Linked DNA regions of Oryctolagus cuniculus. The protein of the gene in region 1 binds, or shares a complex with, the protein of each later gene. Links are inferred from orthologs where the notes say so. Each region holds a gene or a part of one and is shown on either strand. Other genes may lie near its edges.

Region 1 (7,395 bases):
GATTTTATTTATTTGAGAGAGAGAGTCACAGAGAGAGGCAGAGACAGAGAAAGAGGTCTTCCGTCCTCTGGTTCACTTCCCAAATGGCCGCAACAGCCAGAGCTGGGCCAATCTGAAGCCAGAAGCCTCTTCTGGGTCTCCCACACAGGTGCAGGGGCCCAGGTATTGGGGCCATCCTCTACTGCTTTCCTAGGCCATCAGCAGAGAGCTGGATTGGAAGAGGGGTAGCCAGGACACAAACTGGCTGGTGCCCATATGGAATGCTAAAGCCGCAGAGGCTTAGCTTACTACAAACGCTATAGCATCGGCCCAACACCAGCTACATTTAAAGTGTGCAGTACCACATTTCAACTACTGCCAAAAGTTCTTGGGGCCAGCACTGTGGTGTAGTGAGCTGGGCTATAGCCTGCAACAGTGACATCCCATATGAGCACTGCTTCGAGTCCAAGCTGCTCCACTTTTTTAAATTATTTTTTCGAAGATTTATTTATTTGAAAGAGTTACACAGAGAGAGAGGTCTTTTTTTATCTATTTATTTTTTTGACAGGCAGAGTTAGACAGTAAGAGGAGAGACAGAGAGAAAGGTCTTCCTTCCATTGGTTCACCCCCCAAATGGCTGCTATGGCCGGTGCGCTGTGCCCATCTGAAGCCAGGAGCCAGGTGCTTCTTCTGGTCTCCCATGGGGTGCAGGGCACAAGCACTTGGGCCATTCTCCACTGCACTCCCGGGCCACAGCAGAGAGCTGGCCTGGAAGAGGAGCAACCGGGACAGAATCTGGCACCCCAACTGGGACTAGAACCCGGGGTGCCGGCGCCGCAGGTGGAGGATTAGCCTAGTGAGCCGCAGCGCCAGCCACTTTTTTTTTTTTAAGATTTATTATTTATTTATTTGAAAGTCAGAGTTACACAGAGAGAGGAAAGGCAGAGAGGGGGAGGGGAGGGGAAGGGGAGGGGGAGGGGAGGGGGAGAGGGAGAGGGAGAGGTCTTCCATCTGATGGTTCACTCCCCAGATAGCTGCAATGGCTGGAGCTGTGCCAATCTGGAGCCGGGAGCTTCTTCTGGGTCTCCCATGTGAGTGCAGGGACCCAAGGACTTGGGCCATCTTCTACTGCCTTCCCAGGCCTTAGCAGAGAGCTGGACAGGAAGTGGAGCAGCCAGGTCTCGAACAGGTGCCCACACTTCAGGGCTGGGCTTTAACCCACTGCGCCACAGTGCCGGACCCAGCTACTCCACTTCTGATACAGCTTCCTGCTAATGCGCCTGGGAAACAAGTGGAGAATGGCCCAAGTGCTTGGGCCCTGCCACCATGTGGGAAACCCAGATGGAGCTCCAGGCTCCTGGCTTCAGCCTGGCCCAGCCCTGCCCATTACAGCCATTTGGGGAGAGATCCAGCAGATGGAAGATCTCTCTAACTCTACCTTTCAAATAAATCTCTTTAAAGAAGAAGGGCCGGTGCAGTGGGGTAGCAGGTTAAGTCACCACACACAGTGCTTGCATCCCACGTGGGCATGGGTTCGAGTCCCAGCTGCTCTGCTTCTGATGCAGCTCCCTGCTAATCCCTGGGAAAGCAGCAGAAGATGGCCTAAATATTTGGGCCTCTGCACCCACGTGGGAGACCCAGAAGAAGCTTCTGGTTCCTGGCTTTGAATCAGCCCAGTTCATGACCCTGTGGCCATGTAGGGAGTGAACCAGCAGATGGAATATATCTCTCTGTCTCTCCCTCTATATATAACTCTGCCTTTCAAATCAATAAAACAAATATTTTTTTTTTTAAATAAGGAAGTTAGTTAGTTCTACTGGACAACCCTGGCCTAGAATCTTCTTTAACTAAAGCTATGGCTCCAGGCTGGTGCTGTGGCATAGTAGCCTCTGCCTGCAGCACTGGCGTCACATATAAGCCCCGGTTCCTGTCCTGGCTGTCCTCTTCCAATCCAGCTCCCCGTTAATGGCCTGGGAAAGCAGTGGAAGATGCCCAACTGCTTGGGCCCCTGCATCCAGGGTGGGGTGGGGACTTGGAAAAAGCTCCTGGCTTTGGACTGGCCCAGCTCCGGCCATTGCAGTCATCTGGGGAGTGAACCAGCAGATGAAAGACCTCTCTGTCTCTCCCTCTCTTGGTCTATAGCTCTCTCTCTCAAATAAAATCTTGGGGCTGACGCTGTGGTGTAGCAGGTAAAACCGCCCTCTACAGTGCCAGCATCCCATATGGGCACCAGTTCAAGTCCCGGCTTCTCCACTTCCGATCCAGCTCTCTGCTATGGCCTGGGAAAGCAGTAGAGGATGGTCCAAGTCCTTGGGCCCCTGCACCTCATGGGAGACCTGGAGGAAGCTCCGGGTTCCTGGCTTCGGATTGGCGCAACTCCGGCCGTTCAGGACAAGTGGGGATGAGACAGCGGATGGAAGATCTCTCTCTCTCTCTGCCTCTCCTTCTCTCTGTGTAACTCTGACTTCCAAATAAATAAATATATATTCAAAATAAATAAATAAAATCTTGTAAAAAAGAAATGCTATGTCCCTTCTCTACACTAAAAAAGTGGAGCCTCTTTTTAAAATCTTAGGTGGCAAAAATACAGGTGGGAGACAGTGACTCTAAGAAAATATAAATTGGGGCCAGCGCTGTGGCGTAGCAGGTAAAGCCACTGCCTGCAACGCCGGCATCCCATATGGGCGCCACTTTGAGTCCCGGCTGCTCCACTTCCCATCCAGCTCTCTGCTATGGCCTGGGAAAGCAGTGGAGGATGGCCCAAGTGCTTGGGAGACCTGGAAGTTCCTGGCTCCTGCCTTCGAATTGGTGCAGCTCCAGCTGTTTTGGCCATTTGGGGAGTGAACAAGCGGATGAAAGACCTCTCTCTTTCTGCCTCTGCCTAATAAATAAATAGATCCTTTAAAAAAAAAAAAAAAGAAAATATAAATCAAGATATACATAAACAGGGCCAGCATTGTGGTATAGCAGGTAAAGCCGCAACCTGTGACACCAGCATCTCACTTTCCCAGCTGCAGCACCTCAGATCCGGCTCCCTGCTACTGCGCCTGGGAAAGCAGTGGAGGGTGGCCCAAGTGCTTGGGCCTGCACCCGCAGGGGAGACCTGGAGGAAGCTCCTGGTTCCTGGCTTCAGCCAGGCCCAGCCCCAGCCCCAACCATTGCAGCCATCTGCGATGTGAACCAGCAGAAGGAAGATCTTATCTTTCTCTCTCTACCGGACTTTCAAATAAATACATCTTTAGAAACTTAACTAAGTAAACATATATAAATAAAAGTATGAGTATCCGTCCCCCCCCCAAAAAAAAATGAAGGCAGGCAGGCAACAAGGAGACTGAGCCAACAGAAACAGGTTTAATCAGACACAAACGACCTTCCCCTGGCCTGCCCCAGTCTGCCCACCTCCCACCCGACTTGCCCAGCCAGTGGGCTCTCGGGAATGAGGTCAACGGTAGAGGCTCTGACTGCTTTAAAAAAAAAAAAAAAAAAAAAAACACTACAAGAGAACAGCCCCAAGGCAGAAGGCTGCCCCGCCCCCTGCACCTGCGCCTCCTCGGCCTCTACCTGCTTCAGGTGATTCTCTTCCAAGCATTCACACCCTTCTTCCCTCCTTTCTATCAGAGATTCCCCCTACGGTTTCCCCTCCCTGCCTCACACACTGGGGCTCAGACCCAACCCCACAGTTCAAGCCACCTCCTTTCCGCTCCCCTCGCCAAGGTCGCGCCCCGACACTCCTGTTGCAGGGCTGGTTCTCACACCTCGCGTGTTTTCACAACCACCCCCTAAGGGTTCACCGAGGGGCACGGCAGGGCTGTGAGCCCCCCGGGCTGTAGCTCAGGCCCTTCCCTGGTCCACGTCAGCCCCTCTCCCCACCAGAGGGTCCGCGGGGCGACTTTACCCCAAGCGGCTTCTACCAGAAGGCCCTCGGACCCTTTGGACAAGAAATAAAAATTCCTCAAGGATTTTCGAGAAATGTGGGCAGATGCCCCGGCCGGTCCTCTCCTCCCTCGTAAATTCAACAAATACTTATGGCTGCCCTCCTCGGTAGCGTCCCAAGCACAGTCAAGTCCCTGCCTGCCGACGTCCCCTCAGGGCACGCAGGAGTCCATGGCTTCCTCCCACGACTCGTCTTAAACCGAGAACTGAGGCGAAGGAGCAAAGAAATGAAGACCCCATACAAGCCCGCGACTGGACCGCATTCCTCCTTTCTCGGCTTGGACGAGAACGTCCATCCACAAGAAACTCTCCCCTGGCCACGTCAGTCCGTTCTCCAGCCCCTGAGGGACACGGTCTCGCCGTCCCCGCGCCCCGCCGAGCGAGAAGACCTACCCTTACGCCTCCCTCAGAGCCCGCAGAGGGGCGACCTCGCCTTTCCCCTCCTCAGTGGAAGCTCCTCCCTCGCGAGGCCCCTCCGCGCGCTCTCCCAATCCTTTTTCGCTTCCTTGATTGCCAGCCCTTGCTGCATACCCTGCAGGTGACGCTCCGAAGAGGGTCTTTACGGCCCTATTACTCCTTAGGGAAAACTTCCAGGGGCCCCAAGTACTCACGGATCTAGTCAGCCCCCGCGCCCCAAGCTGCCGCAGCAACAGGGGCACAGCCTGGCGCCTAGGCCCCCAGACCCTCGCCGCGGAAATCGCTAACGCCATCTTGACTTACAACCCACTCGGCGACCCGCCCCCTCCTTTAACCTAGACCGGGGGCTGCCCTTTCATGAGCCTGATTCAATTGCCAGCACCACTGTGACATAGAACACCTGCTTCCAGTCCCACTTACGCCAGTACGCGTAAATGTGTGAGGAAGGTGAATTATTTTTTCCAAAATTACTCAGATAGCCCCGTTGTAGTTGATCATGTAAACAGGCAAAGAAGAGGGCAACCTTATCAGGACGCCCGAGGTTTAAGGCCCGGGGGCCTTGGGTAGGACGAGCCCGTGCCAAAGCCCGCCCCCTTTCCTCTATTGTCCAATGGCTTTGCCTTAGTGGGGAGGCGGGGAGCGGACGGAGTCATATTTGTTTGTAAACCCTAACCCACGTGCGCGCGCCCAGTTAGCCAGCGGACCCACGCATGCGCACTGGGTACGCAACTTGCGCGCAAGCGCACTCTGCTGGGCGGAAGCGACGGTCCGGCCTGCACGTGGGCTCTGGGACTATGGAGGGGGTGGTGGCTGCTGGCGCCAATGCCCACGCTGACACTGGGACAGAGTGTCGCTCTCGGGGCCCTGGCTGCAGCCTCCGGCACTTTGCTTGCGAACAGAACCTGCTGTCCAGGCCGGATGGCTCTGCTTCTTTCCTGCAAGGTAAGAACTTAACCCAGGTGCGTACCGCCCCGGTCACGTTCACCCATTTGGTGTTTGTGTGGGAGAGCGGGCTATGGAACACTGAGGCCGACCTCGCCGCTATGCGAGCTGGCCCCTGCCTCTCCTTCACTGCCGCGGAACGTATTGCTCGGGTGGATACTACCGGATCCACCGCATACACACGTCCCCCTCCAGACCGGGAGGGAGCGCTCTCTACCCCCGCAAGAATGACTTCCAGAATTCGGAAGGTCTTATCCGGGTAAATCACCTCCGTTTACTAGATCCGCGCCCCTCTCAGCCTGTTTGCATAAATGCCGCGTAGAGTAGGCGGGTCATCGCCGTGGGTTTAATTCCTCCCTAGAGCGGGGCACATATTACCCCCCAAGTATAGTATAGATGACGCCCTCACCTTTGACAGGTACTCCCCTACTCCCACCCCACCAAGTGAGCGAATATCCGCATCTTTCCATGCGAGTAAATGAGCGTAGACAGAAAAGAGAAGAGGTCCCAGCACTAACCCCCGGGCCCCCCCAACTTTGAGAGCTCCCGGAAGTGTGAAGAGCTCGCCCAGCGGCAGGTGCGGCAGGGGACGAATCAGGAGACGGAGGTGTCCCGGAGGCGAGAGGAAGGGTGTGAGATGAAAGGGCCGCCCAGTTGTTCCGGTCTGAAAGGGGGGCTGATCTCGGGAGGGTTGAGCCGCTGGGGGTCCTTGGTGAAGCTCCAGGCTGCGGCAGCGGAGTGGTGGGGCCGGGAGGGGAGGAAGAAGAGACGTGAGTGGAGACTGCTCTCAAGGACTGCTTCTGTGAGAAGGGCTGGGAGTGGGGCAGCAGTTGGTGATGGATGCGGGGTGGAGAGAAGAGACTTGGCAGAGCCGTGGCCTGGAAGCCGGGAGTGGAGGGAGGCCGGTCCGTGTACCGGTGGGACAGGCAGGAGTGAAGACCCCAGCAAGGACCTGGTTCCGCTCAGGTGCCTCCTCCGGGTGGACAGATTCTCCCCGAACTAAGAGCACCCCGGGGTGAGGGCAAACTGGGTCTCCCAGGAGCAGAACCCCCCCCCCCCGGTTGTCTCTTCCCTGGAGACTTGCCCAGCCCTCCTCCAGCTTGGCTGTCTTGCTGAGGTGTTTTAGAACACAAGAAATAAGGAGAAAGGTAGCCTTTCCCACGGTCTGAAACCCCAGAGCAGGGTGGGAGCTGTGATGCAGCCGGTTAAGCTGCTGGCCTGGCTGGCGTCTCATGAGTGCCCGTTTGAGCCCTGGCTGCTCTGCCTCTGATCCAGCTCCTTGCTAATGCACCTGGAAGGGCAACAGGGTGGTGGCCCAAGTGCGGCCCCTGCCAACCACATGGGAGACCCAGATGGAGTTCCAGGCTCCTTGCTTGAGCCTCGACCAGTCCTGTCTGATGCAGGCATTTGAACAGTGAACCCGCAGATGGAAGCTCTCGCTATCTCTCTGTCACTCTGCCTTCAAAATAATTAATTAAAATTTAAAAATAATTTTAAAACTGCAAAACCATAGGACCCTGTGGAATAACAGTCAGTGCTTTGCAGACTCTCAAGAAGTGTGTTCCGGGGACACTGCAGGTTAAGCCGCCACCCGGAGTGCTGACATCGAATGCGGGCCCCAGTTCAACTCTCAGCCGCTCCACTTCCAGTCCACCACCCTGCTAATGTGCCTGGGAAGGCAGTGGAGATGGCCCAAGTGCCTGGACCCCTGCCACCCACAGGGAGAACCAGAACAAGTCCTGGTTCCTGGCTTCTGCCTGGCCTAGCCCCTGTCATTGTGGCCATATGAAGAGTGAACCAGTAGATGCTAGATCTCTCTCTCTCTCTCTTTTTTTTTTTTTAAGATTTATTTGTTTATTTGAAAGAGTTACACACAGAGAGAAAGAGAGGCGGAGGGGTGGTTTCCACCCACTGGTTCACTCCCTACTTGGCTGAAACAGCTGGAGCTGTGCTGATTTGCAGCAAAAACTGCTTTCCTAGGCCACAGCAGGGAGCTGGATCAGAAGTGGACCAGCTGGGACGCGAACCGGCACCCATAAGGGATACTGGCACTGCAGACAGCAGCCTTACCCACTACGCCACAGCACTGGCCCCAATAAATAAAATCTTTTAAAAAAAAAAAAA
Region 2 (7,412 bases), on another chromosome or scaffold:
GGCTTTCCATGCCTGAAATACTCTCATGGGCTTTTCAGCCAGATCCGAATGCCTTTAGTGCTGATTCTGAGGCCAGAGTGCTATTTAGGACATCTGCCATTCTATGAGTCTGCTGAGTATCTCACTTCCCATATTGGATCACTCTCCCCTTTATTTACTCCATCGGTTACTAGACTTGTCTATGTGCTCCCTTTGACTCCCAGTCCCTCCACCATGACCAACTGTGAACTGAAATTGATCACCTGGAACAGTGAGATGGCATTGGTACATGCCACCTCGATGGGATTGAATTGGAATCCCCTGGTATGCTTCCAACTCCACCACTTGGGGCAAGTCAGCCTGAGCATGTCCCAAATTATACATCTCTTCCCTCTCCCATTCCCACTCCCACGTTCAACAGGGATCACATTTCAGTTAATTTTCAACACTTAAGAATAACTGTGCATCAATTACCGAACTAAACCAGTCATATTAAGTAGAACAGATAAAAAAACTACTAAGAGGGATAATGTATTAAGTTGTTCATTAACAGTCAGGGCTATTCTGATCAAGCCACCATTTCCCATAATGTCCACCTCACTCCAATTTAAGATCAATGAAACATGACCATAAATGGAAGGAGAGGGAGACATTACATAGACATTTCCATGGTTACCGGAGAGATGGTTTGGTGGAGATAAGGAAATTTCCAAAAACAGTTGCTTATTGGGCAGACAAATCTGTTAGGTGCTCTGTTTCTTGTTCATGACTGCAGATAGCTGGAAGCCCAGACTTCTTAGGCCAGTGTGAAAGGCCTTCAGAACCTCTCTCTTTATACTTTCTAGTTTTTCTGCTAACCCTTCTGTCTCTCTCTGTACCAAATGATTTTCTTCTCCTAGAATGCATGGTATTCTTTTCATGACTATGAGCTTTTGTCCATATTTTTTTTCTTTGTCTGGAGTACTTTTTTCTCCTTAGTCTGCCTGGTAACTTCTACTCACCTTTTTAGGCCCCATTTGGTGTTACTTTCCAAAAACAGAGTTTAGTTCTTACTGGGTGTTTCATGTTGCTTGCACGGTTCTAGGGCCCCTATTACACTTGCTTGTGGTTATCATCTAATCTGCCTTCTTTCTCTTGATCACATCTGTCTGACTGGATTGGCAATATAACAGAGGGGCAATACAATCATCTTTTTATTACTTTTCCCTTTTCTCCTAGTTCCAAGTCATGTCAGCACCCCAGCTCCCTAGACTATTAGCAAACAGAGAAAAGAAAACTTGATTCACTCTTTGTCTTCTATATTTAAATTAAATTTTTATTTTTAAATTAAATTTCACTATATAAGGGCAATTTCATTTGTCATGTTTCTTCTGTCTTAAAATAAAAATATCCTTTACACATGTAAAAATGAGAACCACCAGACATACACACATACACACACAGACACACACCATTAAAACAGTGGAAGTGAACACTAACTAGAACTAAGATTAAAAATCCCCTGAATACTGACATGTTGTGCTTAGTGTGGCAGTATGACTAATAGAGACATAATTTTGATTCTCCTCTTTGCTGTTTCTCAATCCCAGTCAGAAAACAGGCAACTGGTACCTCTCTGCTTTCCCTCTAACCTCATTTATTTTCTCTCCTCCCTTGCCTCCATGTAAAACCAGAGGGATTGAGATGTCAGAAATAACAGAGAAGGAACATTCGCTTCCCCTCTCTTCAAATTCCATTCTGGGACTGTCTTTCGCTGCCCTTCCACCTTCGTCTAACGGACATACTTCTACATTTGTGTTTGTCATAATGGATTTGACTGCAATTTATAATCTTTCTAACACTTGGATTTGGAAAAAGGAAATTTACAAAGTTCATTATTGTAAATGTAAATTAATACTCAAACTCTCAGGTTTCTAAGGTACCCCGGGTAATTTTTGCAGCGTCTAGGCAAAAATGCGTCTAAATTCCTAACTGGATTTACAGGATGAAATCTAAGTTTACCTCTTTTATCTATAGCCAGAGAAATCAAACCAATACAAATCCATACACATTTATTAAGTACTTCAGGGAAGGTGTGAACCAGCAGTTTTCTGAAGCTCAAGGCTGATCATGAACACTTTCCAATCTTCACTTTGAGTCAAAGAATAGGAGAGGAAAGAAAAAGGTTTCATTTTTAAAGTACAAACCGAAACGAAAAACCCATTATAAATGGCAGTGTAAATGACACTGTAGAAGAATTAATCCAGACATAGCGTGGGACCCCGCAGACCCACGTCCTCTCCCCAAGTCCACACAGCTGACTTTGGGAAGGTCCCCCTCAGGAGCAATTTCATTGGCGCTCACACGCTTCCCTGCACTCCCCCAGGTACGTCTTCCGCATGCGCACAACGCACACAGGCGGCTTCGTTGCCGGGTCTTCGTCCCCGCCCCCGAATTTCTAACCCTGATTGGTCCGTTTCACAGGCCCGCCCCTCCTCCTCAACCAATGCGGAAGCTTCCTTGTCGCTCCGCCCTCCCCGCTCCCGGCGTGCGGCTGCATTGCCTGCTAACCCAGGCACGGAGCAGGGATGGCGGCTGTGTCGGTGACTGCGGGCCGGCTGTTGCGGCTCCGTGCAGCCGGGGCTGAGGGGTACTGGCGACGGTTGCGTGGCACGGGGCTGGCCCGGAGCTTCTTGCAACCTGCCTCGGCTGGCGAGGATGCGGCCCAGACTCGGCAGGTGGCTCACTTCACTTTCCAGCCTGACCCGGAGACCCGGGAGTACGGTGAGCCTGGGGCTACCCTGTCCGGTTCCGCTGCAGCCCAGCCTGTCGGGCCCGCGGGCGAGGGCCTGCAGGCTGATCTTGCACCGGGCTTAATCCTTGCATAACTCTCTGGAACCTTTCTGCCTCGGGGTCGGGCTGAGATTCCCTCCTGGCTCTGATTTTGTGGCTGTTCAGCCCTTGAGACGCAGTCCCTTGCACCCCTGAGATGGGTGAGAGGCCATACCGCGCTCTGGAAGGGCCTGAGGGTGGAGAGGTGGTGCCCAGGGAACGCCTCTCTTCCTTCACCCTCCATCAGTGTTTTCGTAACCCAGGCCTTATGTGTTGTTCCAGCTTGCCTGGAACTGGGCCACTAACTTTAAGCAGCGGCATATGAAAGAAAGATTCCCCCCACCCGACCCTGCCTTTGGATCCTAAGAAGAAACTGAGGGATAAAATAGCTGTATTAATTTTACCAAGGTCACATAACAGGTTCTTCCTACAGATAGGAATGAATCCAGGCTTCCTGTTTGAGGCCAGTCCTGACCTTTTTCTGGGTTGTGCCACCACTTAGCCAAGGAGGGGTAATGGATGAAGGAATAGGAAGCTACAGGAAAGATGTTGCGTGCCTTGTACCATTTCTTTTTTTTTAAACTTTTATTTAGTAAATATAAATTTCCAAAGTACAGTTTATGGATTACAATGCCCCCCCCCCCATAACTTCCCTCCCACCTGCACCTCTCCCATCTCCCGCTCCCTCTCCCATTCTATTCACATCAAGATTCATTTTCGATTCTCTTTATATACAGAAGATCGATTTAGTATAAATTAAGTAACGATTTCATCATTTTGCATCCATACAGAGCATAAAGTGTAAAATACTGTTTCAGATTGGAAGCTGAGGGCAGGGACTCGTGCATCAGGGTATGGATCCCAGCCGAAAGTGAATTTGAAGCTTGTGCCACGAAAGGTTTGTCCTCGGGGGACAGACAGGCCTGCCAGGACCCCCACTCAGACAGGTTGGGTCCCCGGGGGGCTGATTCTTCCGGCCCCCACCCCCGACCTTCCTTGCCCATGTTCCGCCCCATCAGCTCTCACTGCTACAGCTGTGTTGGACCAGATGGGAGGAAAGGCATAGCCGCCCCGGCTTCCAGAGGGGTTGCGCGGGCTGGGGTCTGAGCCTGGCGCCCATTACTCGGCCCTAACATCAGGAAGCTAGGGGGGCAGAGCTCAGACCCTTTTCAGCCGTGTCTTTGGGGTCCCCCACCTCCCCCATGGTCCCCCCACAGTCTTCAGTGGGACGGCTGACTCGGGGGCGTGGGAGGTGGTTCAAGGTCCGGGTCTCCACCGCACGCAGACATCTTGGTGGTGGGGGAGCGTCACCAGGCGAAGCCGGCCCCTCCCCACCCGCTGATGAACCTCCTTTTAGAAGCCCCGTTTCACTTTGTTTTATCTACCTCTTAGCAGGCAATAGAGATGAATTAGTAGTGGCAACTCCACTTGCTTAGGTTAGGGGGGAAAAAGATGTCTTTTTCCAAAGGAAAAAAAAAGTTTCCTTAAAAATACTTTCCAAAAAACTACAAAAAAATTTTTTTTTGATAAAAAGAGGGAGATATCCAGTGACCACTGGATTGTTTTAATTTCCCAAACTTAACCCCCCCCCCCCCCACTCCCCATAATGAGGTTTCACTCTTTGGCGATTTTCTTCACGTGTTTAAGATAACGCTCTAGCTGTCCCGACAGGTACACCTGTCACTCTGTCCCCTTAGCTTGTCTCACCCGTACCCCGTTCCAAGGAGCCCTACCTGGACCCCTCACCTCCTCCTCCCCCTCCCAGCCAGGTGACTACCGGGGGCCTCACCAGGGACGAAGGCGTGTGTGTATGTGTGTGTCGTGGACACTGACGTCTGGACCCTGCACTGCCTCCGGAGGGGCTGGGGGACCCCTTGCAACATTTCTGTGTGGATTTCCTGGAAGCCACTGCTACGGAGGGTGTTTAGAATGAATTTCAGCAGCTCATGAGTTGGCATAATGAATGAACCACCTCTGTTACTGTGTTCTTGCTCTTTTTCCAGAATCTGAAACCAGAATGTGTCACAAGAGCCCCTTTCCTGATGTCGGGTGGGTTGGTGTGCATCTCCTCCCAACACGGGAGAGCGACAAGTGTATTTTTATGAATGTGGGTGGGGGAGGGCTGAGCACTCCCTTTTGTGACCTGTAATTTTCAGAATGAGTGCTATCTTACTCTGTAATCACGATAATGTTGAAAACTGTACATGACTGGAAATTTGCCTGCCATCGCCACCCCAATTCTGATTGTACCTCTTCCCAGCCTTGAGTCTGTTCTCTGCTTGTCTGGAGGGTGGGGCAGCTGGCTCTGACCTTCGCAGGGCACACTCTCTGCTTCTCTTCCCTGTGACAAACCACTGCATTCCGCTGTTTCAATAGAAAAAATACTGTTTCAGTACTAGTTATAGCATTAATTCACATTGAACAACACATTAAGGACAGAGATCCTACATGAGGAGTAAGTACACAGTGACTCCTGTTGTTGACTTAACAATTTGACACTCTTGTTTATGGTGTCAGTAATCTCCCTAGGCTCTAGTCATGAGTTGCTAAGGATATGGAAGCCTTTTGAGTTCGCCGCTGACTTCGATCTTATTCCAACAGGGTCATAGTCAAAGTGGAAGTTCTCTCCTCCCTTAAAAAAAAAGTACTTCCTTCTTTGATGGCCCGTTCTTTCTACTGGGATCTCACTCACAGGGATCTGTCATTTAGGTCCTCTTTTTTTTTTTTTGCCAGAGTGTCTTGGCTTTCCATGCCTAAAATACTCTCATGGGCTCTTCAGCCAGATCCAAATGCCTTAAGGGCTGATTCTGAGGCCAGAGTGCTGTTTAGGACATCTGCCATTCTATGAGTCTGCTGTGTATCCCGCTTCCCAGGTTGGATCATTCTCTCCCTTTTTGATTCTATCAGTTAGTATTAGCAGACACTAGTCTTGTTTGTGTGATCCCTTTGACTCTTAATCCTATCATTATGATCAATTGTGAACAGAAATTGATCACTTGGACCAGTGAGATGGCATTGTGTACCATTTCTTATGTGACTTTTATCTGCTCCTCCAAGGACCCAGTGTTTGTCATTACCACACCAGTAAAGAGTAAGAAACGTCTGTCATTTCTTTTTTTTTCTTTTTCTTTTTTTTTTGTTTTTTTTGACAGGCAGAGTGGACAGTGAGAGAGAGAGACAGAGAGAAAGGTCTTCCTTTGCCGTTGGTTCACCCTCCAATGGCCGCCGCTGCCGGCGTGCTGCGGCCGGCGCACCGCGCTGATCCGATGGCAGGAGCCAGGAGCCAGGTGCTTTTCCTGGTCTCCCATGGGGTGCAGGGCCCAAGCACCTGGGCCATCCTCCACTGCACTCCCTGGCCACAGCAGAGAGCTGGCCTGGAAGAGGGGCAATTGGGACAGAATCCGGCGCCCCGACCGGGACTAGAACCCGGTGTGCCAGCGCCGCTAGGCGGAGGATTAGCCTAGTGAGCCACGGCGCCGGCCAACGTCTGTCATTTCTTTGTCCAATAGCTTCTCACATGCTACAGCTGATGTTTTTGGAAGTGTATCTTTGAGCTTTAGGACAATCTTAAATCATAGGTAAGAGTTTTCTTCCCATATTGTTATTACTTTATCTTAAGCTAGTTTGTCCAAGGTTCCACTGATATGTTAATGGTAGCTCTGGCTTTGAAACCTACCATATTCTAGAGCTTCTCTTCTGAACAGTGTGCTAAGATGTATGTAGGAGTAACTGAAGGAGAAGGTGTCTTAGTTGCATGGAACATTAGCTACCATAAAGGTGAACAGCAATTTTTCCCCCTCACTAACAAGATGAACTCTTAATTATCTTCAAAGCAAAGAAACTTTGGTCTGATACTTTAGAAGTAGAGGACAAACCTTCTTAATCCCTATTCTCTAATTGTGTGATTACTAGCATCTTAGTAGAATATCACATTACGTTTGTTCCTTTTTTTAAAAAATGAATTTATCTTTTCCATTTTCTACAACTTTTTTTTTAAAGAAAAGACTTAATTATTTGAAAGGCAGAGTTAGGGGAGAGAGGGAGAGAGAAAAAGGGAGAGGGAGAGAGGGAGAGAGAGATCTTCAGTCTACGGATTCACTCCCCAAATGGCTGCAAAAGGCCAGGGCTGGGCCAGATGGAAGCCAGGAGCCTAGAACTTTATCAGTGTCTCCTACATGGGTGCAGGAGCTCAAGGACCTGGACAGTCTTCCACTACTTTCCCAGATGCATTAGCAGGGAGCTGGATCAGAAGCAGAACAGTGCCCATATGAGATGTTGGCATCACAGGCGGAGGCTTAACCTGCTGTGCCACAATACTGCCTCCAAATTGTGTTTGATCTTATTACAAAAATAGTATAAGCATATTTTAAGATAATTTGGATAATAAATAAAAATGAGTTTTACTAATGACTACAATAAAGATTGCTAACATTTTAGGAAGTATTTTCCATAATTGTAGTTTTTATGTAAATATAATTTGCATTGTTGAGTCATTAGCATTTTCCAATAATGCTATGTAGTTTTATAACCTTTAGAATTTATAAGACCTGCTCCATGGAGTATAGACACTAAATTCATTAATTAAATCTTGACTCTGGAATCGATTGTTCTAGGTTTATTCT

The links.
Region 2: the proteins of BCKDHA (region 1) and BCKDHB are in contact, whole or in part, in a crystal structure (PDB 1V16), measured with the Homo sapiens proteins. The link is inferred for Oryctolagus cuniculus from reciprocal best matches to the Homo sapiens genes BCKDHA and BCKDHB. Residues at the interface, in NP_000700.1 of Homo sapiens: Phe155, Leu185, Gly186, Lys187, Arg189, Gln190, Gly196, Cys197, Lys198, Phe202, Val203, Thr204, Ser206, Pro208, Thr211, Pro214, Gln215, Val217, Gly218, Ala219, Tyr221, Ala222, Arg225, Gly244, Asp245, Ala248, Asn251, Phe252, Thr255, Leu256; in NP_000047.1 of Homo sapiens: Pro89, Thr90, Val92, Asp117, Arg118, Phe120, Asn121, Thr122, Pro123, Cys125, Gln127, Gly128, Ile129, Gly131, Phe132, Ile134, Gly135, Ile136, Val138, Thr139, Asp158, Gln159, Asn162, Glu163, Ala165, Tyr167, Arg168, Tyr169, Arg170, Ser171.

Annotation. Positions count from the first base shown.
Region 1 is NC_091449.1:13,103,043-13,110,437, forward strand, and holds the start of BCKDHA (2-oxoisovalerate dehydrogenase subunit alpha, mitochondrial), read right to left. Parts: upstream 4,676-7,395; 5' UTR 4,623-4,675; coding exon 4,524-4,622; intron 4,329-4,523; exon of another isoform or gene 4,306-4,328; intron 1-4,305. Other genes in the region: EXOSC5 (exosome complex component RRP46), read left to right, coding at 5,040-5,271. UniProt on the Homo sapiens protein: Together with BCKDHB forms the heterotetrameric E1 subunit of the mitochondrial branched-chain alpha-ketoacid dehydrogenase (BCKD) complex.
Region 2 is NC_091436.1:92,363,905-92,371,316, reverse strand, and holds the start of BCKDHB (2-oxoisovalerate dehydrogenase subunit beta, mitochondrial), read left to right. Parts: upstream 1-2,453; 5' UTR 2,454-2,546; coding exon 2,547-2,742; intron 2,743-7,412. UniProt on the Homo sapiens protein: Together with BCKDHA forms the heterotetrameric E1 subunit of the mitochondrial branched-chain alpha-ketoacid dehydrogenase (BCKD) complex.